3 linked regions of the Oryza sativa Japonica Group genome follow. The protein of the gene in region 2 interacts with the protein of the main gene of each other region in a pairwise test. Links are inferred from orthologs where the notes say so. Each region holds a gene or a part of one and is shown on either strand. Other genes may lie near its edges. The genes, in order: 26S proteasome regulatory subunit RPN13, ubiquitin domain-containing protein DSK2a and peroxisome biogenesis protein 2.

What was found.
Region 1: the proteins of ubiquitin domain-containing protein DSK2a (region 2) and 26S proteasome regulatory subunit RPN13 interact in binary tests that used the Arabidopsis thaliana proteins (3 or more experiments, as listed by UniProt). The link is inferred for Oryza sativa Japonica Group from reciprocal best matches to the Arabidopsis thaliana genes DSK2 and RPN13.
Region 3: the proteins of ubiquitin domain-containing protein DSK2a (region 2) and peroxisome biogenesis protein 2 interact in binary tests that used the Arabidopsis thaliana proteins (3 or more experiments, as listed by UniProt). The link is inferred for Oryza sativa Japonica Group from reciprocal best matches to the Arabidopsis thaliana genes DSK2 and TED3.

Annotation. Positions count from the first base shown.
Region 1 is NC_089039.1:29,803,871-29,814,622, reverse strand, and holds 26S proteasome regulatory subunit RPN13, read left to right. Parts: upstream 1-5,120; 5' UTR 5,121-5,224; intron 5,225-6,051; 5' UTR 6,052-6,084; coding exon 6,085-6,108; intron 6,109-6,891; coding exon 6,892-6,984; intron 6,985-7,120; coding exon 7,121-7,180; intron 7,181-7,367; coding exon 7,368-7,406; intron 7,407-7,499; coding exon 7,500-7,574; intron 7,575-7,667; coding exon 7,668-7,734; intron 7,735-7,810; coding exon 7,811-7,880; intron 7,881-8,247; coding exon 8,248-8,366; intron 8,367-8,458; coding exon 8,459-8,482; intron 8,483-8,564; coding exon 8,565-8,656; intron 8,657-8,737; coding exon 8,738-8,815; intron 8,816-8,907; coding exon 8,908-8,962; intron 8,963-9,373; coding exon 9,374-9,498; 3' UTR 9,499-9,850; downstream 9,851-10,752. Other genes in the region: pathogenesis-related protein 1, read left to right, coding at 2,307-2,903; sm-like protein LSM8, read right to left, coding at 3,244-3,334, 3,472-3,524, 4,499-4,573, 4,667-4,707, 4,813-4,852.
Region 2 is NC_089044.1:21,858,460-21,867,769, reverse strand, and holds ubiquitin domain-containing protein DSK2a, read left to right. Parts: upstream 1-999; 5' UTR 1,000-1,089; coding exon 1,090-1,354; intron 1,355-2,864; coding exon 2,865-3,593; intron 3,594-3,670; coding exon 3,671-3,960; intron 3,961-4,050; coding exon 4,051-4,164; intron 4,165-4,236; coding exon 4,237-4,295; intron 4,296-4,399; coding exon 4,400-4,428; intron 4,429-5,219; coding exon 5,220-5,312; intron 5,313-5,386; coding exon 5,387-5,535; 3' UTR 5,536-6,037; downstream 6,038-9,310. Other genes in the region: class II metallothionein-like protein 1A, read right to left, coding at 6,615-6,819, 6,906-6,964. UniProt on the Arabidopsis thaliana protein: Binds and presumably selects ubiquitin-conjugates for destruction. Prefers multiubiquitin chains rather than single ubiquitins, with a binding affinity for 'Lys-48'-linked ubiquitin chains.
Region 3 is NC_089039.1:11,357,309-11,368,241, forward strand, and holds the start of peroxisome biogenesis protein 2, read right to left. Parts: upstream 5,432-10,933; 5' UTR 5,148-5,431; coding exon 5,019-5,147; intron 4,630-5,018; coding exon 4,516-4,629; intron 4,430-4,515; coding exon 4,273-4,429; intron 2,196-4,272; coding exon 2,059-2,195; intron 1,989-2,058; coding exon 1,888-1,988; intron 1,636-1,887; coding exon 1,518-1,635; intron 1-1,517. UniProt on the Arabidopsis thaliana protein: E3 ubiquitin-protein ligase component of a retrotranslocation channel required for peroxisome organization by mediating export of the PEX5 receptor from peroxisomes to the cytosol, thereby promoting PEX5 recycling.

The sequences.
Region 1 (10,752 bases), on a different chromosome or scaffold from region 2:
CTCAAATTTTTCAAAATTTTTAAATTGTGAGTATATACCTAGTTATAATAATTCGATTCATATCTATACCTATCAACAAAACAACTCAAATTTAACTTTATTTCACAATCCATGATTACATACCTAACTAATTATATGTATGGATGCTATATACCTAGAATCAAAATCTAACAAAAACAAGTTCAAATTCAGTACAAACATGCTTTGAACTAGTTAGTAAAGTAGTTAATGTTAATACCTAAGTAATTGAAAAAGTTTCATACTCATTTGAATTGGGTATATACTCAATTTCAACAATGGTGCCCGGACACCATGGAGCACCAAACAAATTTACTATATATATATATATATATAATCTTTATTCTTTTATTTATATATGTATGTAAGAAAAGAAGAAGATATATATATATATGCAATGGTCAAAGAGAGCGGGAGAGACAGGGGATGGAGGTGATGCATGCGTACATATCCATTCGTTGTGATCGATCCTACTCGATCAAAGACATGCGATTCTGATTGTGACTGTGATTGGGATTTGGAGGTAGCTGTTATCCACACGCATTCGGATGCACATATATATATGACTCGATCGTGTGTCCAGATAATAAACAAGATAAGCTACTGCATGTACTGCTACTACCCTATGTTAATTGTACGAGTATTACGTATGGACGGTGCCAGGGGCACACATCTTCATTCATGATTTCATTATATGGATGATATGCATGCATGTTGCTTACTGGAATACTTATATATACATCCGGACACGTAGGTCTTTATATACACATCATCTTCATTTAATTAATTAGTTAATTGATTGATTTGATTTCATATATAATCATATACAGTATGGGGTAACTTGTCTTTCGTCGTATATTAATTCCTAGATAGCTACGTAGCTCGATCGATCAGCGGCTGGTCGGCGCCTCTCGAAATCAACAACAACGTATAGGTAGGAGTAACTAAATACTACTCTCTGTCCCAAAATATTTGGCGCCGTTAACTATTTTTTAAAAATATTTGACTGTTTGTCTTATTAAAAAATTTAAGTAATTATTAATTCTTTTTATATTATTTGATTTATTGTTAAATATACTTTTATGTATACAAATAGTTTTACACATTTCATAAAAGTTTTTAATAATACGAACAGTCAAACATATTTAAAAAAAGTCAACGTTAAACATTTTGGGAAGGAGGGAGTAGTATATAACTAATTATCTCTGTTTTGTTTCCTTATAATTAGCTGTTGGTGCATGATCAATCGCCCGATCGGAGGGTGAATCCGATCGAGCTAGTTTGGTCTACAGCGCGCGGCTGGATGCATCATATCGATCATATATATCGGCATATATACGTACACACACTCCGACCCAATTAAAGAAGCAGAGCAAGGGAAAGCGTAAGGCATAGTTAGTTTTCCGAGCAAAAATCATTCAGCAGCCATACAGCTTTTCCGGTTAAAGAAGCAGAGCAAGTGTAAGGTAGTAGATACAAAGCACATATGAGCTTGACATGCATGATTCTTTGATCATCACGTACTAGTATAATGTAACGTAACGTCGTATGATTGATCCGCTAGCTAAGCTAGCTGGTCGTTATTGCGAACCACAAGTATATACTACGTATATAATCTGTCATATATATGCAGTCGTAGCTAGCATATATTAACGGTTTTTCTTACAAAAAAGATAGCATATATTAATCTGTCATACTCATAACCATGTCAAGTGGCGAAGAAATTAAAACAGATATTAAGTAATTGAAAGCAAAGCGGCCGCAATTAACGCAACAGAACAGAAGAGGGCCCCGCGACCGCGAACGATCGAGAGTAGAATGTCCAGGTGTGTGGAGCCTAGCCTAGCACAAGGCGTACACACGAACAGGCCGGAGAGGATGGATGGAATCCAAGCCAAACAAAAAAAAAAAACATTCCTTCCGTCCGTTGGCCGTTGCAAACAGGTGCTCCGTAGTTGTAGAAGCAGACGAGACACGGCAGGCAGGCAGCAAGCTGGTAGAGCCAGAGCCCAGCCAGCTGCCCTGCCAGTGCCCGGGGAGGTTAGGCTTTGTTGTTTGGACAGAGTGGCCGTGCGATATGATGATATGATCGATGCAGAGAAGAAAAGAAAAACTGCCTAAACTTGGCATTGGCATTATTAGTTCGTTGTTTATGGTTGGAAGAGCGAGAGGCAAATCCAAGAAAAGCAAATGGCAAAAGATGAGCTAGGATATAAGAAGCCCATTAGCACTATTGGATTGGATCGGATCGGCGGGCGGCCTCGTCCTCGTCGGGACGACGGCAGACAATGGCCGCCGCCGCGATGATCCTCCCATTACTATTGCTATTGTGTTGGTTTCTGCTGCTGTCTGTGGGCGACGCGATGTGTTGGTTCAACGACGACGCATCAGCATCGGCACCAGCGGGGTGGTTGGTGTCGTGGACCAATGGGATGGGTTGGTACAAGGGGATGCCGCGGGAGTTCGTGGACGGCCACAACCAGCTGCGCGCGCGCTACGGGCTGCAGCCGATGAGGTGGGATAACAAGCTGGCGAGGCAGGCGCGGCGGTGGTCCGACGCCATGCGCGGCGACTGCCAGATCCGCCACTCCACCGGCAACAGCTTCGCCGAGAGCCTCTACATCGGGAGGAACGGCTGGAACGCCAGGGCTTCCGACGCCGTCCGATGCTGGGGCGACGAGGAGCACCTCTACGACAGGGACACCGGCAAATGCACCGCCGGCGTCGACTTCCACGAGTGCGGCCACTTCGCCTTCATGGTCAGGCCCAACTTCACCAGGATCGGCTGCGCCCGCGCCGAGTGCTTCAACGGCGGCGTCTTCATCACCTGCAACTACTTCAAAGACGAGCAGCACCAGCCGGCTACCCCTCCCACCTACTCCTAATATGCTCTTCTTCTCTTCAACAACTGACCTGCCTGCCTTCCTCATTCATGTACATTGATACAGCTGCACAAACAATACAATACAATGGAAACCAAATCTTCACTCACTGAGTCACTGTGTCTGTGTTCGTGTTCAACAAACATGCATCACCCATCCACCACCACATAAAACCATAACATTCTTCTTCATGCTCGCTCATCCGCTTGCTGGACTTCCTCGCGTACGTTAAAGAAGTTCACTCATCGGCAACACTAGCACCCACTTCTTCACAACTTCTGGGACAACACTACATTTAGGTTTAGCTTACTACTAGTAGTAGTACATCATTCATTCGTTTCCATTAGTGGATCACGGGCTTCAGCGGGTGCGCTCTCAGATTCGATAGATCCAGCCTCGCATCCAGTTCTTCATCCACCTCCCCCACCACGCTGCTGTAAATATGCATCACCCACGGATTCAACTTCAGTTAGGCACACCACCAAACAAAATAACACATCCATAAACGACCTCCATGCAGGTAATTAATAAGCAATAAACAGCTCAAACGACAATTGAGGAAATAGCTTACATGTTGTCGCCCCTTATGATGTACAACCCAAGAACAAGCTGTTGCACTCCCTCCTGCAGGTACAACACATTTCTCTCATCACTACTCAAAATTTCAACTGTACTACTAACAGCACATGCCACAAACTAAAAGCATGACAATTTAAAGGCATTGGCCCCTAGTCCTTAAGAAGGCATATCCCATATTCAATAGAGAGGTGCATGATACGAGACATATAACTATTCATAGTCAACATTGCCTGCAAATTGTTAGAACAACAACTCTGCACCATAAAGAACAAAGACATTCCAATACCTAACTATTGAAGACAAAAAATAATATGACTTCTGAAAAATTGAACGTGCACAAGGTAGAATTAATCGAACCAATCCTTGAAGAAAAAGGTGCTGTTATGACAAATTCAGCTAAAACATGTTACAGTATAAACTCATTATTTTGCAGGAAACGAACTTCAGTTCATACTGACAGTAGACATGATGATAGATACGAACAGTCAACAATATGAACTCATTACTTCATGATGACATTTATAACCATCATGAAAGAGAGCCATCTTTGAAAACAATCTGTGTTTAGCCATAAAGGGTACTGTGTAATACATGTTGGCAACTAACTTTCAAGCACCATGAGAGAAACTTATTGCTGATTGCAGAATTCTGCACTAGTGAACCAATGAGAGCATTTGACAGCAAACCAGGGAGAAGGTCACAATTAACAAGGACATACTGGAATAACAAAAAAAAATTGTGTGGCTGAACTTGTAGCCTTAGCAAACAGGCAACTCTATGGAAAATGCCAAACAGACTGTGGTAGAGATTCTAAACGCAGAAAAATTTAGCAGAGTAACTAACTGTAAGTATGACCGCCTTGTAAACATAACTTTATGAAGATGGAAGTAAAGTGTGTGTTGCCGGATTATCAGGGCATATAGTACTAGCTTAGTGAAATATTGATATTGCTGTAAAATTAATTGAAGGTTTGCAAGATAGCATGAAAGAAGCGTAGAAAGAGTTGGGAGCAACCCTACCCTGGTAGAATAGACCCTCTCATGGGACTCATCGAGGATGATGTTGGTGGCTTGATCGAATCCTCTGAGTGTCCCCTGACGAAGCGGAGGCAGGGCAATTCGAGTGAGTATTAGCGAGAGCCAAAAAAAACAAAAAAGGTGTACGAGTAGATCAAACAAGGGGCTCACCACAATGTTGCGGCCATCGTTTGTGATGACGGATATGATCTCTGGAGAGAAAAAAAAAACATCATCTATCACTAGTAATAGTAGGAGGAGGAGAATCTTGGGTAGCTGGGTGAGATGAGATAAAAAAAAAAGAGGGATGAACTCACGGTCGACGAGCGATTCGAGCCCCGGGCCGGCGGACGCCATCCTGTAGTTCAGGTGGAGTGGGGTGATTGGGGAAGCCGCCGCCGCCGCCAAGGGGATCGCCGGAGTTGAGGGGATGCGGCGACGATTTGTGTTTTGGAGAGAAGAAAGAGATTGAAAACCCTAGCTCAACTTCGTCTTTGGAGTTGCCGAGCGGGCTTTTATATGGGCCATCAAATGCGTGGGCGGGCCTCTCCAGCCCAGCTAAGAGAAGCCCAGCCCACCATGAGAGATCCTTCTCTGCTCCCCCTCCCGTCGTCATCGCCTCCCCAAATCACATCACATCGCGTCGGAGAATCCCTCTCCTCCCGTCCCGCCGCCGCCGCCGACGACGACGACGACGTCCAGCCCTCCTCCGTAATCCCCCACTTGTTGGTGAGTGACTGAGTGGTGACCAACTCTTGCTCCATTGTTTCTAAGATATTTTCTTCTCCCTTGCCCTACCTGTTCCTCTCTCCAATCCAAATCTCTCTTTCTAGGACGGCTGCTCCAATCGATTTTATTGCTCATGTTTTTCTTGGGTCCTTACCAGCAAAATCTTATAGATCACCCACCTATTTTGCTCTCCTTGCTTACATCTACATGTAAGAAAAAAAAATAAACAAACATAAAACACTGCACCATCCTGTAAGGAACTAGCCCCTGCAAACAAGCTAATCATTGACGAGTTTTATGTTAATGCGACTTGCTAGCTGCTAGGGTTTTTGGCTAGTCTTCGCCGTTTTTTGGGTCACGTTGGTTCTCCACTATGAAATAACACTACAGCAGCACAAAAGTAATGCAGTAATAATATCTTATAAAGCCCAAAGAAACCACCTTACAAATTACAAATCTACAAGCACGCAGACGCAGGAATTTCTTTATGTAAATACTAATTTGTCAGTTGCCTACGTGCTACTTGAAGATGCAAATACTGCACAACAAAGACTCTAGTGTACATAAATTTATAGATCTAGTCTTCTTTAATCCTTCACAAGTGCATTTTTCTGTATTTTACCAACACATGCGCATAATGTTTTCATTCTCATATGCACAAAGTTCTAAAGGCAGCTACTACTTTCAGACTACAGTACCTTTTGTTCATCTCAATTGGCATGCAGTACACTTCTGACAACTAGTTACTGATAACCTATTATACTTCACACTTGCTTGATTTTGTTCTATGTCCAATACTTTACTGTCCTTTTTACTGCCTGTTTTAGGGCCTGCACCTTGTGGTAGCCACTCTTTAATCAATGGAGAGCACAGAGCCCCTACAGGTAAACTCCTCACTTTGCCTTCTAGTGTTTCTGCAAGTATTGGTTTTTTCAAATACCGAATTTCCTGTTAGTGTTTAACTGCGATGATCGGTTGCTGTTGATTTGAGATCATGATTTAGCTGCTGCAAGTTCCATCTAAAATGACATTATGGGCTGTTTGGTTGGTATCAACACTTTGCCAAAAGGATAATTGAGGTTGTCTTTTGTGGTGGACAAATTCTCAACTATTCGCAAATCTTGCCAAGTAATTGAGTGTATGACAAGTGAGCCAGCTGGTTAAAGAAAGCCTGACAGAAAATGGCATTGGTAGTACCATGTTAATGGGCTGTTTTGTGTGTAATATGTACAAAGGCCTGAACCATGTTTGGACCAGTTTTTCATCGTACATGATACAAAAAAAGAAAAAAAAACATAGATGTCTCTTTTGTATACTAGGCAGTTTGTTTCTTTATGTTTTAGTTCTTTTCAGAAAACTGGGATAGAACTTCTGTTAATCTTTGCCTGCACTCTAAAAGGCCAAAATATTTAGCTAGCAATTTGTAGCAAGAAAATCTTCTGATAAGAAATGTAGGTTGTGTATAGTGAGCTTTCAGTAGTTCAGTGAACTGAGTTAATTTTCTGTTGCAGTGCATGGTGCTTATTGATCTATCTCAAATTAAGATCTTGTGCTTATTCAGAATCTTAATGACCTATATATTTATTTTTGCCATCTCATTTATCTCTGCTATGATATAACAAGGTGTTGAGCTTCTATTTAAAAACAATCTCTCATGTGTTTGTCAGGATATCATGTGCGAGTTTCGTGCGGGTAAGATGTCCCTTGATGGAACACGAGTGATCCCAGACACACGCAAGGGTCTTGTTCGCATAGGAAGGGTATGCATGCTAAAAGTCATACTTATCTTGAATTGAAGTTCTGTACTTCTATTTGTCCAGTATAACTTATAAGCCATTTGCATTCTCATATTTTATGGGGATTTGCAGTGCAGTTAACATATCCACTTGTTTGTAGGGTGAAGAAGGCTTGGTTCATTTTCAATGGCTTGATCGTGGACAGAATCTAGTTGAAGTTGTATCCTCTCGAGCATAGATAGTAGTTAGTAGTCATCGTGCACTCATTTTTTAATCTGCAAATACTGTACTTGTATGACTCGTATGTTTGAACTTTGAACTTGGCTGTGTCTGTTTCTCCTGATTTCCATTGTGTATATCCTAGGAAATTATCGTACTTTTGTATATCCTTGATTCCCTTTTCACAGGATCAAATTGTCTTCCCTGAGGAGGCTGTCTTTGAGAAGGTATTGAATATAGGTTCAAGTTTATTTTCTTCTGCAAGACCATCTTAGTGAACCTCTTGGGCTTCATTGATGATTGTAATTCAACTTAATCAGGTAACACAATCTTCTGGAAGGGTTTACATCTTGAAGTTCAGGCACGATAGCAGGAAATTCTTCTTCTGGATGCAGGTCAGTTGAGTGTGTGTGTGTGTATCTGTTTGAAAACCACAGAAGTCCTTCCACCAGCTAAAATTTACTTGTGTTTTGCTCTTTACTGTGCAGGAGCCAAGTGCTGATGACGACTCACAAATATGTCGCCAAGTTAATGCCTACATAAACCGACCATTAGGTATGCTGAACGTTGGGATCTCAACTCTTAATTATGCGCTCATTTTTCTTGTGTCTTAAGTTGTATGGGCGTGCAGATGGTGAGGCAGTTTCTATTGAAGCTGAAATGTCACATGAAGACACAGCTGATGATGACATCTCCTCCAGGTAATTTTAACGAACTGCAAGATGCAATGTGCAGCACAGAAAAACCTAGACGTTTGCATTGCAATCTTTATTTTTCAATGGGGCCGTCAGAGTAACAGATGGATGCACGTTCATTATAAACCACAAGTATATTCACTCCAATTTCATGCATAAGTTAACACTATCTATGTCTAGCTGAGTTTATTGTGCACTGCCTTTCATTCTTCCTATTTTCACACTGATATTTTTCCTGCTAAATATATATGAAAGTGTGGCCTCAATTTGTTCCTGATATGGCATTCATGCATGCGTGTTGAGTTTTGGGTATAATGAATTAATGACCATTTAATAATTCTAACCCCTTTGTTTCCTTCTTTCTTCTCATCAGAGCTGGGAATTTAGTTGATCAGAGCATGACTGCTGATTTAGCTGGTGAGGTGACATCTGCTGCTGGGCCAGTACGGTTGGAAGACCTGCAGAGAATACTGAGTGCTATACAGCCATCAGGTATCAGCTGAAAAATCATGTCACTTTTGAAATGTTCTTCCATTTGACCACCTTCTCATTTTATTTTACTTGCATTCGCCTTGTAATTTCAGATGCTGTGGCAGACCCTGATGCTGGTAATTACAGTACAATACTCTATTGATTCACTTTTCTTCAATGATTTGCTGTATGTATCAGTACTTTTAACCGCTGTAACAGGATTAGGATTAGGAGACATCTTGAAGCCTGATTTGGTGTTACCACTCATGGAAACTTTGCCCATTGAACAGTTGGCATCATATCTTCCAGAGGTTTGTAACTTTGTATTTGTCATCCTGGTTCTTACTTCAATTGACTCTTCCACTCATTTTATTGTGCTTGCTTAATTCCAGGGCCCATGGACTGCTGGTGATATTCTTGAACTATTGCAAAGTCCTCCTTTGCGGCAGCAAGTAGAAGCGTTTACCCATGTTAGTAATTCATCTTTCTATTGAACATCTTGGTGAATCGTGACACAATGCTTCAAATGTTATTTTTATTCTGATATTTGCATGTATGGCAGGTGCTGCGGACTGGGCAAATAGATCTAGCACAATTTGGAGTTGACCCTAGTAAATGTAATCCTTCTCATCTTCACTTATATTGACAACCAAATTTCTCGTTTATTTGCACTGAACAGTAAAGTTAAATGCAGCATGTAGCAGGCTCCTTTTTTTTTTCATTCGCAAATACACGGTAGATAATTTGTGCATGTGGCTGAAACTTTTATTTATGTATTGAAAAAACACAAATTCTGCAACTGATACCTCAATGACCATGATATTTACCTTGCTAGTCTAGCTTTTACTTTCAATGGCTTATGGAGGTGACCCCTGCCCAAAATATGAGCGTTGTTTTTCTGCTAGACGACAAACATCCTTGATGCTAGTTGGTCAAGTCTGAAAATGATTTATTTAGTATTTGTAAAATCTGGAGATGGAGTGAGATGTTTTCGGAAAACTTATTTGATGGGTGTCTTTGTGGCACAGATAAATTCACAGTAGCTTCGTTCCTGGAGGCTCTTGAAGACTCCGTGGCAAAAGCTTCAGGAGCTGGAGACAAGGATTCAGAGTCCCAGAGAGGCGGTGGAAATGATCCCATGGATGAGAGTTAATGTCAAAATGGTTTGGTTTGAAAACTTGATGAAACACAAAGCGGGACTGGACTTATGTTGGCACGCACAGGCCTATTTCTAGTCATTTGATCTGATTATAGATGCTTGATAGGTGGCATAGACATTTTGAAGCTGGCTTTATTCTGCACTGCCTGTGCTGTTATGTGTATACAGGGAGGATACGGTGGTCTAGCCTATTTTGCACTGGTGTATGCTCAGTAGAGTATTAAAGGTACTGGACCATTGTTAAGTGTACTTGGGCGTCGTCGTCATATAATGGATGGATGGATCGGCTGATCGATCAGCTGGGTTGGGCGTACGTCTGCGCACTGCTCCTCCCAGTTCAAGTACAGATGATCGATCTCATTCTTCTCTGCTCTGCATGTATGATGGTAGAATCCTGAGCAAGATGCTCGCGGAAGTTGGCGATTCCCAAACAGCTTTGCCTCTTGCTGCTTCTTTTTCGTCGTCCAAAGCATCGTTGGTAGCATCTGTACTGATGAAGAAGATGCTCGCCCTCGTCATCGTTGACGGGAAAAGCTTCGATCCTGTCGTTGTCGTTGTTGGACGCCGTTGTTCATGTGTTTCGGCCCACATTAGTACTCATAAGATTTGGGGCAAAAGTATTTACTAATATTCATGCATTTTCGTGCCAAGGTAAGTATTTATGAAATTTAGGACCGAAAGCTAAAATTCCTTCATTCCTTTTTTATCCAAGGATAATACTCATGCAATGTTAAGCCTAAGGACAATACTCATGTGCTTTGGGGCAAAGGCTAAAATTCATTCAATTTTGGTCAGAAGTTAGTACTCCTGAAATCTTGAATCAAAATCTAATATTCATGTGTTTCGGGCCAAAAGAGAGAATTTATGCACTGTTGGTGCCAAGATTTAAAAAACGAGATTTAGAGAGACGTTTCTCCAATTACCTTTTAAGAAAATAATATGAGCATGTTACCTGTTGAGGTTGAAACCACATACCCTTGCCAGTCAAGTGTATCTTGGTGCCAAGGTTAATAATGGAGAATTTTTTTGGATTACACGGAAGATACATGCACTACTACACATGCACACACACTCACAAATTTGCCCCTAATAGATTCTCAAAGAGACGAAGACCATGGCAAATCACTAGCTTCATGAAACCCCATAAAAATTGCATCCGTGTGTGTGCATAATGTTCATAGCCACTAGAATTTGAATTCCATTGCATTTTCGGAAGAAGGCTAGTATTCATGTGTTTTCAAACCCCCC
Region 2 (9,310 bases):
GATATTCAGTTTTGCTGAGACATATGGCATTTAATAAAATGCAACTACCAACTCCCATCCTACACATGCGTCATGCGTTTCCAACGTGCCTTGGGGCATTCCCTCGGGACAACATTGTTCACAAACTACAATTCTTTACCCTGTCACCGATGAAAAATATTTCAGCTACATAAAAAAAAAGTCGCACTCCAGTAAACTATGAAAATAGCCTCACTAGCATCGTCACACACTATTGTTATAAAAAAAAAGAGTAGCATCTTTCGCAACGCGGATAATTTTATATAGATAGAAAAATATCACATCACATGTACTAAATTTTATGAAAGAAATATATTTAGTACAACAATTTTGTCCGTATCATGTTTGACAAAACGGTTTCTCTCGACAGGGATGACAACCACAACAAACCACCCACTTGAACACTTGCTCAAGCTATATTAGAAGTAGACTCAACAGCATAACCGTTAAAAAGAGTTGTTTGATCAGTGTCTCGATCGGACGATCCAGATCAAGACTCAAGAGCCACAGTGCATATTCCACTGGTAATATTCGCATATATATATATATATATATATATATATATATATATATATATATATATATATATATATATATATATATATATATATATATATATATATAAAACACAAATTCTGACCCCTCAAAATCCCGAAGACATGTTTACTCAAAAAGGAAAGCGTAGGAGGAAGCTTCCCTGTAGCGCACGCCTAGAACCTTCTCCCCGCGCCCCGCCCCCACACCGACCTGGACTCACTGGCCGCGTCGGTCCACGCGTGGCCCCACCGCTCAGTGACACACTCCACCCACACCCGCACGCAACGCATCTCCGCCGTCCATCGCATCCACCCCGCGTCGCTCCCCGCCGTTAAAAAGTCTCCGCCTCGCAGCCGATTCCTTCCTTCTCCTTCCTCCTCTTCTTCCCCTCTCCCGAAGAAAGAAAAAAAAGGAAAAAAGAAAAGAAAAAGAAAAAAAAAACTCGAGCTCACGCGCACACGCACGCGACGCGACGCGACCCCGAATCGGAGGCGAGGCCGCCGACTCCGAGCGGATCGGGCCGAGGTCGACGGCATGGGCGGCGGAGGAGGCGAGGCCGGGGGCGGCGACGGAGGGGAGTCCTCTCCTGCTGCGGCTGCGGCGGCGGCGGTGGCGGGGGCCGCGGCGCTGCACATCCGGTGCGCGAACGGGTCCAAGTTCACCGTGCGGGCCGACCTCGACGCCACGGTGGGGGCGTTCAAGGAGGTGGTGGCGGGGAGCTGCGACGTGCCGGCGGCGCAGCAGCGCCTGATCTACAAGGGCCGGATCCTCAAGGACGAGCAAACCCTAGAAAGCTATGGTGAGTGTCTAGGACTGTTAGGTAGAGGAGGAGAAAAAAAACCCATCAAATCGTCAGGATTTTTGGTCCGATGGGTTGGAATTGACATGCTACGTGCTCGATTTCAGTCGTGTAGTTGTAAGAAGCCGCGATTTAGCTTTGTCGATGCAATGCCTGTTTATACCTGGGGCTCCTGTTCATGGGGGACAAGGTGCAGCAATCCGCTTCGGTGCCCTATGCATGCTAGCGAAACAGATTCGTCGATATGCTTTGCTTCTCTACACAGTTATTGGTGATTGGGTGATGCGAGTATAGAGTGTGTAGTGTATTAATGATAATGTATACTGCGAACGGAACGGTTACTCTTACGTAGCGTATAAGATGATGAAGAAGCTGAAGGCAGCTCATCTTGTCGCGACTCGAATATAGTTCCAAATGTTATGGACTTATGGGGCCATGTAAGCTACTGCTCGTATTAGTTACGCATACGTTGTTATTATGTCGCAATGTGTGACATCTTAGAATCTTCTTGGAGTTGTAGTGAAAGTTAATTTATTTTCTCATGAAGCATCATATGGGCTTTATTTTTATCTGTGAACTTTGGGTAGAGTGCACTTTATTATTGAATGTAGTTTATGAAGTGCAAATACAAGTAAATACTTCAATTTGTTGTTTGCAATGCAACTGAACAATTTTTCTTAAACACTATTTGGTTAAGTGCACAACCCTGCTATGGAAATGGGTTCACCAAATGTAAAATCATCCTTTTCTTTCCGTTGATTACAAAGTAGTGACCGAGAACAGTAAACCAAACAATTGTTCTGTTTAATGGAACTAAGCAGTGGGCTGTCTTTTGAAAAAAAAGGAAAACGTGAATCTGTTTCTCTAGTGCTACTGTTACAATAAATTAGTACGTTTGCTGATTCGCAGGAAGTGTATATATGTTTGGAACTCGTATTTATGTCAGCTCATGGTTTCATATTTATTTTCAGCGGGTAATGATGCTAACTAATTATTACATTGATTATGATTGTAGCTTCTTGCTATGCAAAAACTTCCATATGAGGAAAACGTTAGTTAGTTAATTGGCCAATCGTGCATGTGTATTTGAGGAAAAGAAGGGAACAACTTTCAAAAGACATGTTCTGAACATCCTTACATGGTGGAATGCTGCTAAATAAATGCGTTGAATCAATGATGCCTTAACAAAAAAGAAAAACATCTTCTGGGAAAATTGTTACCTTTTATGAGAGAGTACCAAGTAATTCTCATGTAATACGAAATATTGGGCACGCTAAGTATGTTAACATGCCATAAATGAGGATTTATGGCATAGTCATCCGATGCACTATCTTCTTTAGTCTCTCACATGTGAATTCTTTAGAAGTTTTCATTTGTAATTCTCTTGTATATGATTACATCAGATATTGGAATATTCTTTGTTTATGTAGATATGCTGGCCCGCTGTTCAAATTTCTGACTTATCAAGCATAATTCTTTTCTTGCTTCTCACACTCCTTATATTTTGTAGGTGTTGAAACAGATCATACCATTCATATGGTGCGTGGCGCTGGTCCCCCAGCCGGATCAGCTGCACCTGCTGCAGCCAGCCCCCAAGCTTCAGCTGCTCCTAGCAGCGGCCCAACAGATGGTCTTGGAAGTTTGTTTCCTGGCCTTGGTGGTACAGGAACTGCTGGTACCAGGCCATCTGGTCTTTTTGGGTCTGGATTTCCAGAATTGGATCAAATGCAGCAGCAGTTAAGCCAAAACCCCAACTTAATGAGGGAAATAATGAATATGCCAATGATGCAGAATCTCATGAATAACCCTGATTTAATTCGTAACATGATCATGAACAATCCTCAAATGCGTGATATCATCGACCGGAATCCAGATCTTGCTCATGTTCTCAATGATCCAAGTGTTCTCCGCCAGACCCTTGAAGCAGCCAGAAACCCTGAAATCATGAGGGAGATGATGCGGAACACAGACAGAGCAATGAGCAACATTGAGTCTTCTCCTGAAGGGTTTAATATGCTCCGACGCATGTATGAAACTGTCCAGGAGCCTTTCCTAAATGCGACAACAATGGGTGGAGAAGGCAACACAGCTCCAAACCCATTCTCAGCTCTTCTTGGAAATCAGGGTTCTAACCAACCAAGGGATCCTGCTACAAATGCTCCAAATACTGGCTCAGAGTCTACAACAGGAACCCCTGCTCCAAACACTAATCCACTTCCAAATCCTTGGAGCTCCAATGGTATGTTCTCAATCCTCTTGTTTATTCTGTTTTTGATAATCTATATATCTATTGTTTTTTCACACTTAAATTGACAGCTGGAGGTGCGCAAGGAGCAACACGGGCAGGTTCTACTGGCAATGCAAGAACCGGTGCCACTGGGGGCCTTGGAGGGTTGGGGTCAGCTGATCTGAGCAGTTTATTTGGTGGTCTTGCCGGTAATACAGGAACTGGTGCTACTGGTGGTCTAGGAGGGTTGGGTTCAGCAGATTTGGGAAGTTTGCTTGGTGGTTCTCCTGATTCTTCTTCCTTGAGCCAGATTTTGCAAAACCCTGTTATGATGCAGATGATGCAGAATATCATGTCTGATCCACAGTCCATGAACCAGGTACGGTATTTCTTAACTTATTTTGTTATATAACTTTGATGATGTTAGAGTCATAACTTCAGATCATTCTGTAATTTAAAATGTCCACAGTTGCTTAACTTCAACCCAAATACACGCAACCTCATGGAATCAAACACTCAGTTGAGGGAAATGTTCCAAAATCCAGAATTTATTCGCCAGCTTACATCCCCAGAAACTATGCAGGTAACATATGTTACGTTTTATGTATGTGGCTAGCTCCATCTCTATCTAGATTAACTTTCCCTTTTTTGGCAGCAATTACTCTCGTTCCAGCAGACATTATTATCACAGCTTGGTCAAAATCAACCTAGGCAGTGAGTAACTCTTGTTCAACAGTACCTGAATTGCATCTAGCTCATTTATACTGTATTTCTTTCATTATGTGTTTGTTAATTATCTTTTGATTTTCTTGATTCAGGGATGGTAGCCAAGGAGGCAATGCGACAGGTATTTTCTCTTGATTGTTTTTTTAATATGCACCATCTAATATCTTTTCTTGTTTTAAGATGGATTAGTATGTCAGGTTTTACATAAGTTTTAGTGCGTACTGAGTTATCTTTTAGTGGTGGTTCGTTCTAGCACCAATAGTTGCCTTTCTTTCACTGCTTGGTTGACCTGTATTAGTTCTTCAAGATTTCCGTTCTTCCATAAGGCCATTACATTATATAAACACATTATGATGATTATTACTAGTGGTTGATTCTTGACACTACCTTATTGTGGTGCATAACATTGGAATTTCTAAATTTGAGTTTCCTTGAAATATTGGAAAAAAAGAAATATCAATGATCGATATGGTGCGACCGTGCGACCAGGCCTCGTTTTGGGGATCGCAAAACAAGGTCTTTGGGGTGATGCGTGACACATGTATGATTTTTTTTCCTTACTTAGAAATGGAAATGGGTTGCCTATGACTGAATGCTGCTTGTGGATTTGATTATTGGAGAATGGATGAGAGCTCCCTACACCTTTAGTCACAACCATAGTTCCATTTAAGTAATCTGTTATGTGTTGAACGTGTCTGAGCTCTTTAGCTGCTTGACTGTGCTATATTGGTATGGAAGAGATTATACGAGTTGTTTGTGTAGTCAACTGTACTGCCTTCTAAATTGTGGAGCAATGTTAGATGTGTAGTGGTAATTCGAGTACTGAGCATTTGATAATTAAATTCTTACAAATGCATTTTTTTTCACCTTTTTGTTAAGTAATGTGGCAAATGCCAATGAAATAAAATGCAGGCATGCGGGGAAATGTTAGCCTCGACACCTTGATGGGCATGCTTAGTGGGCTTGGTGCTGGAGGTGGCATAGGTGTACCCAATACATCCAATGGTTTGTATAGTAACTCTTATCATCTTCCATGTTTTTGTATCATCACTAATTATGGTTTTACACTTGTGATTCAGTTCCACCGGAAGAACTGTATGCAACACAGCTCACTCAGCTCCGAGAGATGGGTTTCATCGACACTGCAGAGAACATCCAGGCGCTAGTCGCAACTGCTGGGAATGTGAATGCTGCGGTGGAGCGTCTTCTTGGCAATCTTGGCCAGTAGCTAAAGCGTACCAGACGCTGCCCATAACGTCACCAACTCCGCTCTTTTGCAAGAGGTTTTTTAGCCCCTCCAAGTTCAAACGCAGCGTCTGTCTACAGTCTCAGGAGAAAATAAAACAAAGAAATCCCACCCCCACCATTAACTTTTCCATACATGGTCGTCATGCCTTTGTTTTTACCGTGTTGTATTTGACTATTTGGGTTGATGTACATACATATGAAATTATCGGATCTTACCGCATAGAATATGGGTCTACCTTTGCAATTGTCGGCTCCCAATCCTCAAGATGTATGTTGATGCCTTCTTGTGTTTTGGGGTATCTTCATAAATCATAACGCAGCCTTGTTCTTCTAGGCATAAGGTAATTAAGGTAGCTGGCCTTGTTCTAGACAAGGCAGCTGCCATGCTAGTGCTGTGTCTTCTCTGTTGGTTGCTCTATCCATTTGACATTTGCACTGCTCTCGGGATTCTATTGGCAAATACATGATAGGTTACTGCACCATTTTTTTTCTTTTCTGGTTAAAGTTCAGAGGCTGTGCTCGATAATGGAGCAGTCAGATTTGACGTGGAAATGTTCATGAATTACTCTGAACGTTTGTGTATGATATTTGCAGAATTGCAGTTCAGTTCATTTCATCTAAAGAGATGTTTGTCCAGGTAACAATGTCAGCTGTGCTGTATGTTTCCATACTGAGTTTCGCATTTTTGTTTCCCGAAGAAGAAAAGCATTGCCCCTCGCATTGATAAACATGACAAAGTTACCAACCTTTTTATTCATGTAAAACATATTTACACAAGTACAGACACACTTATCAACCTGGTACTGCAGTACACAGTGTCTCCCAACTCCGAACTCTCCATCCCTCGCGTATCACCATGTCCGTTGCATGCGTGATGCGCGAGTCTAGCCAGAACTAGACAACGGGATACGACTCGACTCAAGCAGCAAGCCCTTTTTATTTATCAGCTGTGCTGTTTAGCTAAGCAGCTATGAGTACTAAGCATGGCGCACGTACACACGCTTAACCACACGTATAAACACGTCTCGTTGGGCATTTTTGGGCGCATGGATGGATGGATCAGGTGGTGGCCGCGGGAGCGGTGGTGGTGGTGGAGCCGCAGGAGGCGCAGGTGCAGGAGTCGCCGCAGGAGCAGCCGGCCCTCCGGTTCTCCCTCCCCGTCGGCTGCGACTCGCGGCCGCACCTGCACGGGTTGCACCCGCAGTGGTCGCCGCACGAGCACGTCGTGTGGTCGCCGCCGCCGCTCCTCGCCGAAGACGCGCACCTGCACCCACACGCGTGGACATACACTTGAATTGTTCAGTTGGTTTCACGGTCGCCAAGATGCCAAGGGCGACCAGATCGCCGTACCTGCAGCCCGTGCCGCCGGGGCACGGGACGGCGCACCCGCACTTGTCGTCGCACCCCATGGTCGTCGATCCGGCCGGCTCCAACGTACGAAAGATCTACTACCCTGTACAGTGGTAGAGTATTGCCGTTGCAGGGCACGTATAAAGAGCGGGCTTAAGCGGCGGCACACGTCCCGGAGTCATGTGAGGTGACACGCGTACCGTGGACCTGGCAATGCCCGAATGTTCTGGTACGTGGCCTACTCAGAGCATGCATCTGTAAACATACTGATAAATAAGGAGAGAGAGAGAGAGAGGAGCAGCGGACTATAGATTTGTAGCCAGCTGTAGCACGGACTCTAAGACACAGTGTGTGTATGATAAGTGGGACTAGATATTAATAGTGTAGTATATACCTATTATATGAATGAGCTATTGGATTGGCTATAATCGAATTGGAGCTAGTTGGCTATACTATTAAACTTGCTCTCATTTCCGTCGGTATTTATCTTCGCGAAATTGTGGCGTACCCGGACAATTCGGTGCAACTTCTGATCGTGATGGACTCTTAATCTACGTGAATAAATTTTGCGCAATTTATTAAGCTCGTCGTGGTTGAAACAGTAAAGGTTCAAGTAATTCAATTTGATTTAGGAAACAGGAGAAGAGTTAGAATTTTTATCAGAAGTAATTCAAGATGAACTTTTGTAACAAAATAAAGATACTTGGCCAAAATTAGCTCTAGCCCGACGTGCTTGATCAAATTCACCGAAATACACGTCAATCCATGTTCTGAAATCTGATCTTGTACACAATCCGCAGTTCAATATAAGCACCAAAACCTTGTCAGTTTACCGACCAGCTAATATAACCCGTCAAATGAAAATGACTACTTTATTTAGTAAAAAAGTAATTTTGGGCGAAAATTTATATATAATGCGAATTTGGATTTTAATGTAAGAATCTACAAGAGAATTTAATTTTATGAAAGTTGAAGTTGCCATACAAAACAATGTATCTAGTTGGTTTTACAAAAAGTAATTATGGCAAAAGATAACCGGGCAAAGACAATTTGGAGGAATCAAGCAACGTTGTTTTCTAATACAAGACATCATTCAATATTTTCTTTAATATCTCGCTCCCTGTCATACAAAATATTTTCTTTGATATTTTGCTTAAGGGTTTATATCCATAAATATAAAGAAGATTTTGTTTAAATACAGTATTATCGACGGTGGATATCCGTAGACCGGATATAAAGGGTATTGGGGTAGCAAAACAAAAGACAGGGATTATACTGGTTCAAACCCCTTGATAGGTAATAGCCCTAATCCAGTTGGTATGGGATTATATGATGGAAATCACAGATTACAAAGGGAATGATGGAACTCGATGATACCGACGAGACCGTAATCGAGTTGGTTCGACTAGATCACCCGGTGACTTGGCTCCTGTAGCCTCCGGCTTCATAGGATGTGGTGGATGTGTTGGCGGTGATATTCGATGCCTTAGGTCCTGCTCGGGGGTCCCTTTTATACCGCGGGTCAGTCGATCTCCCAGTAGAACTTGGAGATATCAGACCCCACACGATATGGTAACGACCCAGTTCTGTCCGAGTAGGACTCCTTCCATCGGTGGACTCCGTTTCTATTACGTGATAGATTGCCTTAACGTGTACAGAAAACATTCGTGTGCGCGCGGGTATACCATATCAGTATACAACGTATATCCATGGATAGAGGGTATACCTTATCCGTAATCTTGACAAGTATCTTATAGAGTATTGATCAATTTGACATCGTCATAATGTTAGACTTTCTAACATAGCAGACACACAACAACGTGCGGGGTTATATCATTTATAGATTTGATTTGGCCCAACAAAAAGTACCTTAGGTACCGGTACCTCACAGTACCATGAGGTACCGATATCTCGAGATAATTTTTGTTAGGCTGGAGTAAATCTCTATCATCTAACTTTAATCTATGGATCTATGGAACAAACCAGCTAGGCATGGTGGAACACTGTTCCTCGCTACCCTCCGGCGCCGAGTACACGCATTCCAGCTCGCCATGCCGCTTGCTGTAGCAGTACGCCTCCTTCCCGTCGTGCACGTAGTAAATCCGGCTACCGGAATCGCCGCCGGCGCCGCCGCCGCCGCCGCCAAAGGTGGCGTGGTGGTCGTCGAGGAACAGGTCGTAGTTGCCACCGACGTCGTCGCCGGCCACCTCGCGCCAGGCGAGCTTGCCCTCGCCGTCGCGATGATCCTGTCGTCCCAGCTCGAACACGTCGAAGCCCTCCGGCTCCGACGACGACTTGTTGACGCGCACCCTGACGACGAGCAGCTTGCTCGGCAGCGCGACAAGGTGGAGGTAGTCGAGCGACATGACGGTGTCGTCGCCATTGGCGGTGCCGAGCAGCTTGTT
Region 3 (10,933 bases), on a different chromosome or scaffold from region 2:
TCCCATTTTGCTCCATGCTGCTAACATTAAGTCCATATTCCATTCTTTTTCCATGGGGCCCTTATAATCCATATTTGCTGATTCAATCTCCTCTATTACACAATTACGTAAGATTGATGATGTGACCACTGAAGCAAAACGTGGTGGGCTTGCAATTATTCAATGGGACAAGAAACTTTTTCCTAAGCTTTCTGATGCAGGTTTTTCAACACTGTTATCACTTATTCCTCTCGGCCACTGACCTGGTTGAGGTATCCAGCCATCACTAGGTCAGCAGTCGTACTGACCACATGTTGCTAAATTCAATTTTTCAATTTAAATAAATACTCCCTCCATCCGATAAATAAGGCGCAACTATCACTACCGCAAAGATCAAGAAATAATTATTACCAACTCTTTGTTTGATCACCCCAATAAATACAATGCATACATCGCAGTATGATTTAATAGATAGAGAGAACTTTTAGCACTACTCTACCCTTTTTATAAATGATATCTCCAGATTGGTACAAACCAACTTTTAGCACTACACTACCCTTTTTATAACATGAACAAGTATTTTCAATGTGAAATATCATAGGACTGAGAAAACGTAGAACTAAATATTCAGAGTGACAGGTCTATTATATTCTGGCGTAACTATAACTAGTGAAGAATACGTATCTCAGTGGAGCAGAAATAACATGCAATCTATAGTTACAAAAAGGATGTTTTAAAAATTTTATTCCACAATTTCCACCCGCCACTACTCCCATGTAGAGAAATGGTAGATGGGGAGAAAGTAAAGTCCGAAAATATTTACTCTTGTAAATTAGTGAGTTCTTTTTCTGAAAAAAAATAAATTAGTGAGTTGGGGGTGATTATGTGTTTTAAATCCTCATGGCTGCCTATATGTGGACATGTATGTATTCCTCGCAAGATTTTCTTTTCTTTTAATGGCATTCTTTGCAGATGTGCACCTCTGTCCTTCCTAACCAGTCCCTTCTGCTCTGTTCCACACATCCTAGTTCCCATCTTCCTATATGTCTCAAGGTTTTGTTCAGTGGTAGCCTTTGTTCGCTATTCCTATTCAGGTTCACATAAGAGCCTTTTTCTTTCCATCATGAGTTGAGTTTGCTTTGTGGTCATCTAAATATTTTTTATATTTGAGGAAAGTTTTTTAAAAATTTTATTTGAATCTTAAATTTATATCCACTGTAACTTTGTAACACGTTCGCACCACGCTAGTGTATAAAAAAACCTTAATCTACATAAACATGTATCATAATATTAATAATAATATTAATAATGGTTATGATGTGCTATTAACACTTATTCCTGAAAGAAATTTATTTTCGGTAATATTACAACAGTAAAACTGCCAAGCTTACAGAAATACAAGAGGCTAGACTTAAGGTTTCATTCTGTATGTACTCAATGTGAAAAGGAGGACGGAATCATGTACAGGATGTCAAATACATCACTGCATAAGATTGAAATTTAAATTATTAAACAAGAATGTATCAAGAGAGGCATACCGAAAATTCATTCCAAACCAGTTGCCGGTTCATGTACTCAAAGCTTACTGCCCTATTCATGTTGGGGCTCTCATAAACAAGTCTTGCTTTCAGAATCCTTTCAACAATAGTTTTATATCTGCATAAATACATAAGCAAGTCTGAACTCTTGTTTTCTTAAAAAAACATGCTAACCTAGCTCACTCAAGTAAACTATACTGTCACTGTAATTCATTAATTGTGGATGCCGACACTTTTAAGTCTATTCAGATAGACCAATCAGTAATGCCAAACTGGGCACCATTTGCTGTGAGTCTACGAGTAATTACCATTTTCACTGTCTCCTCAGAATAAATAAATGAACATAAATAAACAAGTTGATGAACAGTACCTTGCACCATAAAGAAATAACAAAAGGTTAAAGAATGAAGAAGCTCTGTATAAGCCTTCAGCATGCTGCACCAAGCCCCAAGCGCGACGTGCTAGTGGTCTCTAAATTATGAAAGAAAGTTATAAGAATAAAAAAAGGAATTAAATTTTTCGAATAAGTTCTGAAGATCACCTGTTCAGAATCACCCCATCGACGGAAAGCAGAAAAAGACTGCAAGCGGGACCATATATATTGGCCACCAACAGTGCTAATACAATACAAAACCTTTTGAGAAACTGAAAGTCCAGGTCCTTCCAAACCTGTTCTGACTGAAAAACACATGGAATTCATCAACACTTGCTAGGATAATATTACAAACAATAAGTCATTAGCATATCAGTAGCATTCCATAAAGCCAAAGAATGTAACGAGTAACAAAAAATAAAAAAGTTTTGGACCTGATAATGGGCCAAGACCTATGTAACCCCACACTAACCAAATAATCAAGAAGACAACACAGCCCAATCCACAAGAGCCAATTGGCCGAGCAGTTGCAACAAAAACATGGAGGGTAGACAGGACTATTTGATTTATATATACTGCTAAATGGAAACAATTACAATAGGCTTCTTACATAGAGGACTCCCTAAGACCTGAAAATTATAGATAATTTACTCCAAAAAATAGCTTGCCTAACTAGAAGATACCAGACAACAAAATAGATAGATTTCCTAAATCCTAATAACAAACCCTGTTTAAGGATGCTGCTACTGCAGGCCCTAATGGGATGGATGCACAGGCCACAAAATGGGGAAACCTAGTCATATTAGGCACATCTCAACCAAACAAGCCAGCTTGAAAAATAGTTAAGCGTTTGGACCATTTTGAACCTTCAAGAAGTTGACACATGCATTAACCATATTTATTTTCCTTTTTCTACAACAAAAATAATTTAGCTTGCATTATGAAAATAAAAAATTCCAACCTAGCTTACATTTAGAGTAAAATGCAGCAAGGATTCTTGCTAGGTGGGTGTAGGCTTGCAACTCATCTTGCAAAATGCTCAAATGAGTCAGGCAACTTGAAAGGAGAGTGGAAATACAGTCCGATGCATGTCATGTGGGGCTAATGACAGTGAAATACAGACCAGGTTGGCCTAAGGAACAACGTGTGGACAGAATACATACATGTTTCAGATCAATGTAATGTCCTCCTATAGGATTGCCATGCCCAACTTAATAGCCTAGGAGGAGTAAACTGCAAAGCTTTAGGCTCAGGCAACTGAAAATGGTGACATATATGCATTCATGGATTCTATGCTGCCCCCAGTTGTCCCTTAAGGGACCACTCTGGCAACAAGGTCGGTGTAATAAGCCACATATCATGTGTTAGGGTGCATATTTGCGTACCCTAATCAAGTTATGTGACTCTTTTGAGCATTTTGCAAGATGAGTGACTAATCTGCACCCAGTTCACAAGTTGTTGTACCAGCAATGTATTTTACTCATATTTGAATATTTAATTGGCTCAATTTGTTTCTTATAAAACTAGTAATTAGGATGATGCATCTTGTATTTTCATTAAATATTGTACATGCAACCACCGGATCACTTGTGACAGAATTGTAGTCAGGTTGTATATTGTGCATCTCCTGAGCTAGTGGATAATAACATGAGAAAACCCACGGTGCCCTTATCAAGTAATCATAAACATGTTGGTTCAAAAATTAATTTCCTAGAAGATATATGCAATCTAGTAACCCAGAACTTGAGGATTTTTAACAACATATTTTACTCACTTATAATATTCATGTTAGGGAAATTCTTACTTGAAGGTTTTGAACCTAAAGTTTCTTGGCCACATGCTCTTTTCAGGAGATTTAAGAACATACCACATAAATAAGCCCTTTTTCCTTTGAATAAATTAGTGCAATGATACTTAAAAATGTGTAGAATAGCATGTATTTCTGGACACCATGTCTTATTTGTCAATAAACAGCTAATTGGAAAGGAGACAGTAATTAGGTATGGCACATCCATATAAATTGTGATCAGCATTCTGTAGGTGCAATCATTGGTTTGATTCTATTCCCTATAGATAGTAATAAAATCATAATTTCCTGAACTAGCTGAAGACAAACTCACACCAAAGCGATCTGAAACCAGTGCAATTTCACCATAACACGTGATTCAACCAAAGTAAATAAGGGTATTGTAATGCAAGGATGATACACGATCAAAGTGTAAATATCCTGGTCGCCTGGTACACACTTTAGAAAGATCCAAACATTTCGTATGCTTTGGGGAGCTATAACCAGCATAGCAACTAAAGATAATGCCATAAAGTACGTACCATATACATTATACAGATCTGCTAACAATTGAGACACAATAAAGTAGCAAATACCTTCTTTTCCTGTTATGGGCGCTGCCCGTTCATCTCTATATCTCAGGTTCATGAGCGCATTCCCAGGAGTTGGCTTATCAACCCATATTGAGAATCTCCATATGAGGAACTCAAGGAAAGCATCTAATTCTGGCTCATATTGGAACAGGAGTCCTGGCTGGAACATATGTCAAACTGAAGGTAATAAGCTGATGCGCAAGCAATAAGAAATACCCATATCACCATGATTAGTAAAGGAAGTACCTTCACCAAAGAGAATACTTTGACTAACTGCTCTTTCAACATGGCGGACATCTCGACATCAAGCCTCGCAGCATCAAATTGGTTAACTCTAGATATTGAAATTGGGATAGCGATCTGTATCACACAAGAAATTCAACAATGCATTACTACCCCAACAATATAGTGAACCTTTTCCTGCCAGTTGTAGCAAACAGATCAAAAATCCGCTCTTTATTTAAGACCACAACTAATTTTTTTTGAATCAATTAATTGGGAAAACAGAGACTAGTGACTCCCCACTAGGCAACCATTTTCTTTTTAAAAAATCTGGATGTAGCTAAGAAACCTCAGACCTTCAAAGAATACTACTACAATCGAATATGTGTATTCCGATATGCTTGAATGCAGCAAAGCGGGCCTTTAGAACCCTATATTTCGTAAACAAGAAAAAGTACCCGATAGCAAAGTTTGTACAGTAAAAAAAAATAATCCCAAGAACAGAGGTGAGTTAGACATATCGGTACCTTGGATGAATCACGCATTGACTCCCACTGAGGGAGGAGTCTCCGGTACTCGGCGGCCCATGCATCCGGTGGTGGCGACGACGAGTCAGTGGAGGCGGAGGGAGAGGGTAGGGTTTCGGGATCCGTCATTATAGGGGGCGGAGCTCACGGGTGGACGCGTGATGCGAGCTCGAGCATGAGAAGCGACAGCAGACGCGAGAAATCCCCGCCTCCGGGGAAGGAAGCCGATGAGCGTGGCGGGCCGATCCGCCCCACCTGGTAGTTAAGGGGGGGCACGCGACGGCCGGCGCGGAGGAGGGAGAGGTCGAGAGGGGCGGACGGCGCGTCGCCGGCGGTGGGAGAGGCGGGGGTGGATGGGACGAGCAGCGGGCAGCGGACCAGCGGTGCGTGTCGCGCGGACGATCGAGGAAAGTGCGTGCGATTGGGGATTCGGTTGATACTAGTACTTGACATGGGCCCTTATGGGCCTTACCAAGAAGATAGTAAAATAAAGGAAAAAGTACATCGAAGGTCCCTCAACTTGTCATCGAATCACAAAATCATCCTTAAACCACGAAACCGCGTAAAACGTGTCCCCCAACTTACAAAACCAGTATCGACTAGGTCCCTCGGTTGTTTTGACTCCGGTTTTATCTGACGTGGCAGCTGACTCAGCGTGGGACCCACGTAGGTCCCACATGTCAGCCCCTTCTTCCCCTCCCCTCTTCCTCTCTCTCCTCTTCTTTTCTTTCTCTCCCTTCGCTCCAGTTCGGCGGGGCTTTTAACTATTTGCCACTCTTACGGATGTTGCTTAACGATTTGCCACTAGGCCCACATGTCATAGACACATGAGGGCCCACATGTCATTGACAGGATGTGGCAAATCGTTAATTGCCATGTCACAAGAGTGGCAAATAGTTAAATTTCCCCAGTTCGGCAGGCGGGAGTCCGGCGGCCGGTGGCGGCGACAAGGCGGCGTCGGCGGCAGCGACAACAGGCGACGAGGTGGCCGCGGCGACGGGCGACGAGGCCACCCGCTCCGCCTCCACATCGCCTCCGCCTACTCGGAGCGGGAGGCGGCCGCGGCCGACGACGACCTCGCTGCGGGACGCGCTCCTCGCCTACGCCCGCGCCCTCTCCCTCGTCGAGCCGCGCTTCCCCATCCGCCTCCGCCTCCGTCGGCGCCCCCATCCCCGCCGTCGCAGCCGTCTCCTCTCCGGTCTACCGGCCCCGGCGGCGAGAGCGGATCGCCGACGATGACGCCGACGTCACGGTCGGCTTGCCGCACTGCCTCCTCCGTCCACCTCCCCAGATTCGACGACGACGACAACCGCCGCGTCCAGCTCCTCCCCCGGCACTTGCCGGCCGCGCCCATCTCCGGCGATCCGACCGACGACAATGGACCTCCGCCACGCCGCGCCCATGAATCGCAGTTCACTCCGGCGTTCCGATTCATCCTCTGCTTCCTCGTTGTTTGCTTCTGGTTTGATTGATCGACCATGCCTCCCCTCGTGGCGCCGGTGGAGCACAAGGACGAGCCCTGCAGGCAGCGGCACGCGGCGGCGGCGGCGGCGGCGATGACAGCGGCGGCGGTGGCTAAGCCGCGGCAGCGGTCGGCGTCGTTCCACGGGCGCGGCGCGGCGGAGCAACGACACTCGTTGTTGAAGCAGCGGCCGCGGACGCAGCCTGACCTGCTCGCCGAGCATGTGGCCGCTGCACGTGATGGCGCGCGCCGAGTGGCGCGTGGCCGACCTGGTCGCTGCCGCCATGGAGCTCTACGTCCGGGAGGGGCGCCGGCCGCTGCTGCCGTCCGCTGACCCCGCCGCCTTCGGACTCCACTTCTTCCTCTCTCCCAAGGCCGCAACGACCGCCGCGATCACCGCCGCTGCCGCTCGTCCCCCGCCGGTTTAGGGATGAGAGAGGAAGAGAGGGGAGGGGAAGAAGGGGCTGACATATGGGACCCACGTGGGTCCCACGCTGAGTCAGCTGCCACGTCGGACAAAACCGGAGTCAAAATCGCTGAGGGACCTAGTCTATACTGGTTTTATAAGTTGGGGGACGTGTTGTATCCGGTTTTGTGGTTTAAGGGCGATTTTATAATTCGATGACAAGTTGAGGGACCTTCGGTATACTTTTTCCTAAAATAAATATTGGAAAACGTCTATTTTGTTTTCCTCATCTCTTGCTCCTTTGACTCCTCGTAGAATAATTCTCTCAACTGTAAAATCAAGTATAACACATCCCCGTTTTTGAAAACTGGATGCAAATCGACTCTTTCGATAGTTTAGCAGTTTGTACTGACGTGGCAGGTTGACTGCGGTTGACTCGTTAAATCAAACAGGTGGAACCCACGTGTCACTCTCCTCTCTCTTTTCCTCCTTGCACTCCTATCGCCATCGTCGCCTCGGCACTCGCGCGGCAACTAAAATGGTGATGCCTATCATGTTACTATTGTTCGTGCTCATCGTCGCCTCCACGACCGACACTACCATGCCGATGTTGGTGAACGAGGAGGTGCTAGGGCTGGTCATTGTCGGAGTATGGAACTCCTCTAGTGGGGAAGCAAGTACTCCCCCTTTGGAGATTCGACCAGGGAGTGCGTGCGTGGAAACAAGGTGATGCTCACGCCAATAGAAACGAGAGAGGCATGTGTTTTCTGGACAGATTCGGGCCACTTGGAGGCATAATACCTTACTCGTGTGTTCTTGGTGGAGCTCCTTGTTGGAAAGTTTACAAGGTGTTGGTCTACTTCTCCTCTAAGGCTAGGGAGCTCATTCCTCTTTGTATGGATGCTGTGTGATGATGGAGACATTCTAGGATCGGCTCTAACCCAGAGTCATCTCTCCCATTTTCAGTGACCTTGGTCCTCCTTTTATAGTTGCAAGGGGATATCACAGTGGCCTGTTTCTTACAAATGGGCCCCGGTACGGGGTTAGGTGTCTCTGGTCATATTGCTTCTTGGTGGTAGACCTAATCATCAGGACATGTGCCAGCTGTCAGAAGAGAGTGTTGGACGATTTATAGGCTAGACGTGCGGCATATGGCAGTCAACAGTGCCGCCTAGTAGCCCACCCCTTTCCACATAAGGGTAATGAAGGCTTATCGTAAGGTTGGCATGTGTTGTCTTGTCGTGTGTTGTTCCGGTTGCAAGTTGGGTGGGTATAGTTACCTCGCATTAAATACTAAGCTTGACTGGGTTGATTTGTTACTGTGTTACCCCATGTACATGGGGGCAGGTGACAAACGTACCCCGAGCATCGCCCCCGGGGGCGAATGTGCCCCGAGCTCTGCCCACGGGGAGCCGCATCCCGGGGGTTGATATGCCCTGAGCAGCCGTACTCGGGGGCTAGTGTGCCCCAAGGATAGCCCACAGGGGTCATGCTCGAGGGGCAGGTGATAGGGACGCCCTGAATAGCTCGTGATGGCCATGTGGATGTAGTCCGACGTGACGCTGTCAAGCCGATGTTCAATCATGTTCAAGCCGATGTTGTTTGACCCAATGGGCGTGTTGGCCATGTGGATGTAGTCCGACGTGACGCCGTGCGGATGGGAGCATGTCGAGTGTGACCTGACCACGTCACGCATGTTCCGATTCGCACTTGATAGGTTCGGGCTCTCCAACCGCCACTACTGGAAAAGTGGTCTTTGCTGGGTCGACTGTTTTCCACAATAGTCCCGGTTCTTATTAGAACCGGGACTAAAGATTGTTTTTAGTCCCGGTTATAAAAATTTTGATCTTTAGTAAAGATCATTTTTTGTCCCAGTTCATGGCCTGCCAGAGGCATATCAGGGTGCCAAAGATCTTTAGTTCCAGTTGATACTACCAACCCACTTTAGTCCCGGTTGGTGTTACCAACCGGGAGTAAAGATTATTTAGATCTTTAATCCCGGTTGATAATACCAATCGGGACTAAAAATCTATCTTTAGTCCCGGTTGGATACTCCAACCAGGAGTAAATATTTCTCTCCCATATCTAATCGGTTAAGTCCCAGACAAGACTTCCTCCTCACCGAGATATTTAGATAAGATTGCATCATCCCCTCTCCTCCTACCCCTCAGATCTCCTTCCTCCTTCTCCCCTCCCCTCTCCTCCTCCCCCCTCCTCCCCTTCCTCCTCCTCCCCTCTCCTCCTCACATCCGGTGGCCAGCGTCGGCGGGCAGGCGGCCAGCGGGCGGAGGGGCAGCGCGCGGCGGCCGGGCCACACACGGGGCAGCAGGCGGCAGCGCGCCGGTTCTCTCCGGCTTTTTTTTTGATAATGTGTGATTGAGAGATGTATAATTCATTTTTTTAGAATTTGTGATTCATTGCATAGATCTAAGATGTATAATCGATCTGTGATGTATTTGATTTGTATGTAATTTTTTAAAGATTTGTGATGTGAATGATTTGGGATGTTATTTTGATTTGGGTATATGCATGGCACTTGATTTAGGGATTTGGTGTTTGATTTAGGTATATACATGGCACTCGATTTGGGAGAAAATAAAAAGAAAATGGACCAACCGGGACTACCCCTACCCTCTCTTTAGTCCCGGTTGGTGTTACCAACCGGGACTAAAGTTCCCTCTCTAAAGATCCAACTTTACTCCCGGTTATTTCACCCGGACTAAAGATAGCGGTCTTTAGTCCCGGATTCGTAGTCCCGGTTGGAAAACCGGGATTACACGGGGTTACAAACCGGGAGTAAAGACATTTTCTCCACCAGTGTGCATGCCAGGTAGGCTTGACCACCTCACCGCGCTCCAGTCGCTCTCCATCGCCTGCAACAATCTCTAATATTTGCCCCTATGCTTGCTCTTCCTGATTTCTCTAAATAATTCATTGTGGAGACTAATTCTAGTGATGTAGGTATTGGTGTTGTTCTTTCCTAAGATAAGCATCCTATAGCTTTCTTGACTAAGGCCATGGGTCCCAGAAATCGGGTATTGTCTACCTATGAAAAGGAGTGCATGGTAGTCCTCCTAATAGTAGAGCAATGGAGACCTTATTTTCAGCATCAAGAGTTTACCATATTGACTGATCATCATAGCTTGATCCATTTATCAGATAAGAGGCTTCACACACCTTAGCAGGAAATAACATTTACTAAATATTGGGTTTGAGTTACAATTTTGTTTTACAGGAAGGACACTACCAATTCAGCCGCTGATGCTTTATCAAGAAAGGATCAAGACCTATCAAAAAAAAGAAAGGATCAAGAGGAGTCGGTAGAATTTATGGCAATTTCTTCTTGCACGCTCATGTGGTTGCAAGAAGTTATGACTAGTTATGAACAAGATCTCTATTCTTCCCAACTGTTGTCTGAGTTAGCTATTGACTCCACAGTAAGACAACACTTCACTCTGCAGAATGGCCTCCTAGATACAAGGGCAGAGTGTGGGTGGGAGACAACAAACAATTATAGCGGAAGTTGATTACTGAGCTGCATAACAATCCATATATAGGAGGACTTTCTGGCTTCCCTGTAACATATAGAAGGGTGAAGCTTTTATTTGCCTGGCTAGGAATGAAGAAACAAGTTCAAGCACAACTCAAACAGTGTCAAATCTGTATCCAGGCTGAACCAGAGAGAGTGAAAATACCATGGATTATTTCAACCACTTCATGTTCCCGAAGGGGCCTGGCAGGTAATCTATATGGATTTTATTGAAGGTTTCCCACTTCTAAGAGATATAACTGCATATTAGTGGTAGTGGACAAATTTTCTAAATATGCACATTTCCTGCCTCTCACCCATCCTTTTACTGCTTTGGGGTAGCCTCAGTATTCATGAAAAATATGTACAAATTACATGGTATGCCTAGGGTGATTATAACTGATAGGATTCACTAGTCAACCATGGGAGTATTTGTTTGCAAAATCACGCACTAAACTCCACATGAGTTTTGCTTATCATCCCCAATCAGATGGCCAAACTGAGAGAGTAAATCAACG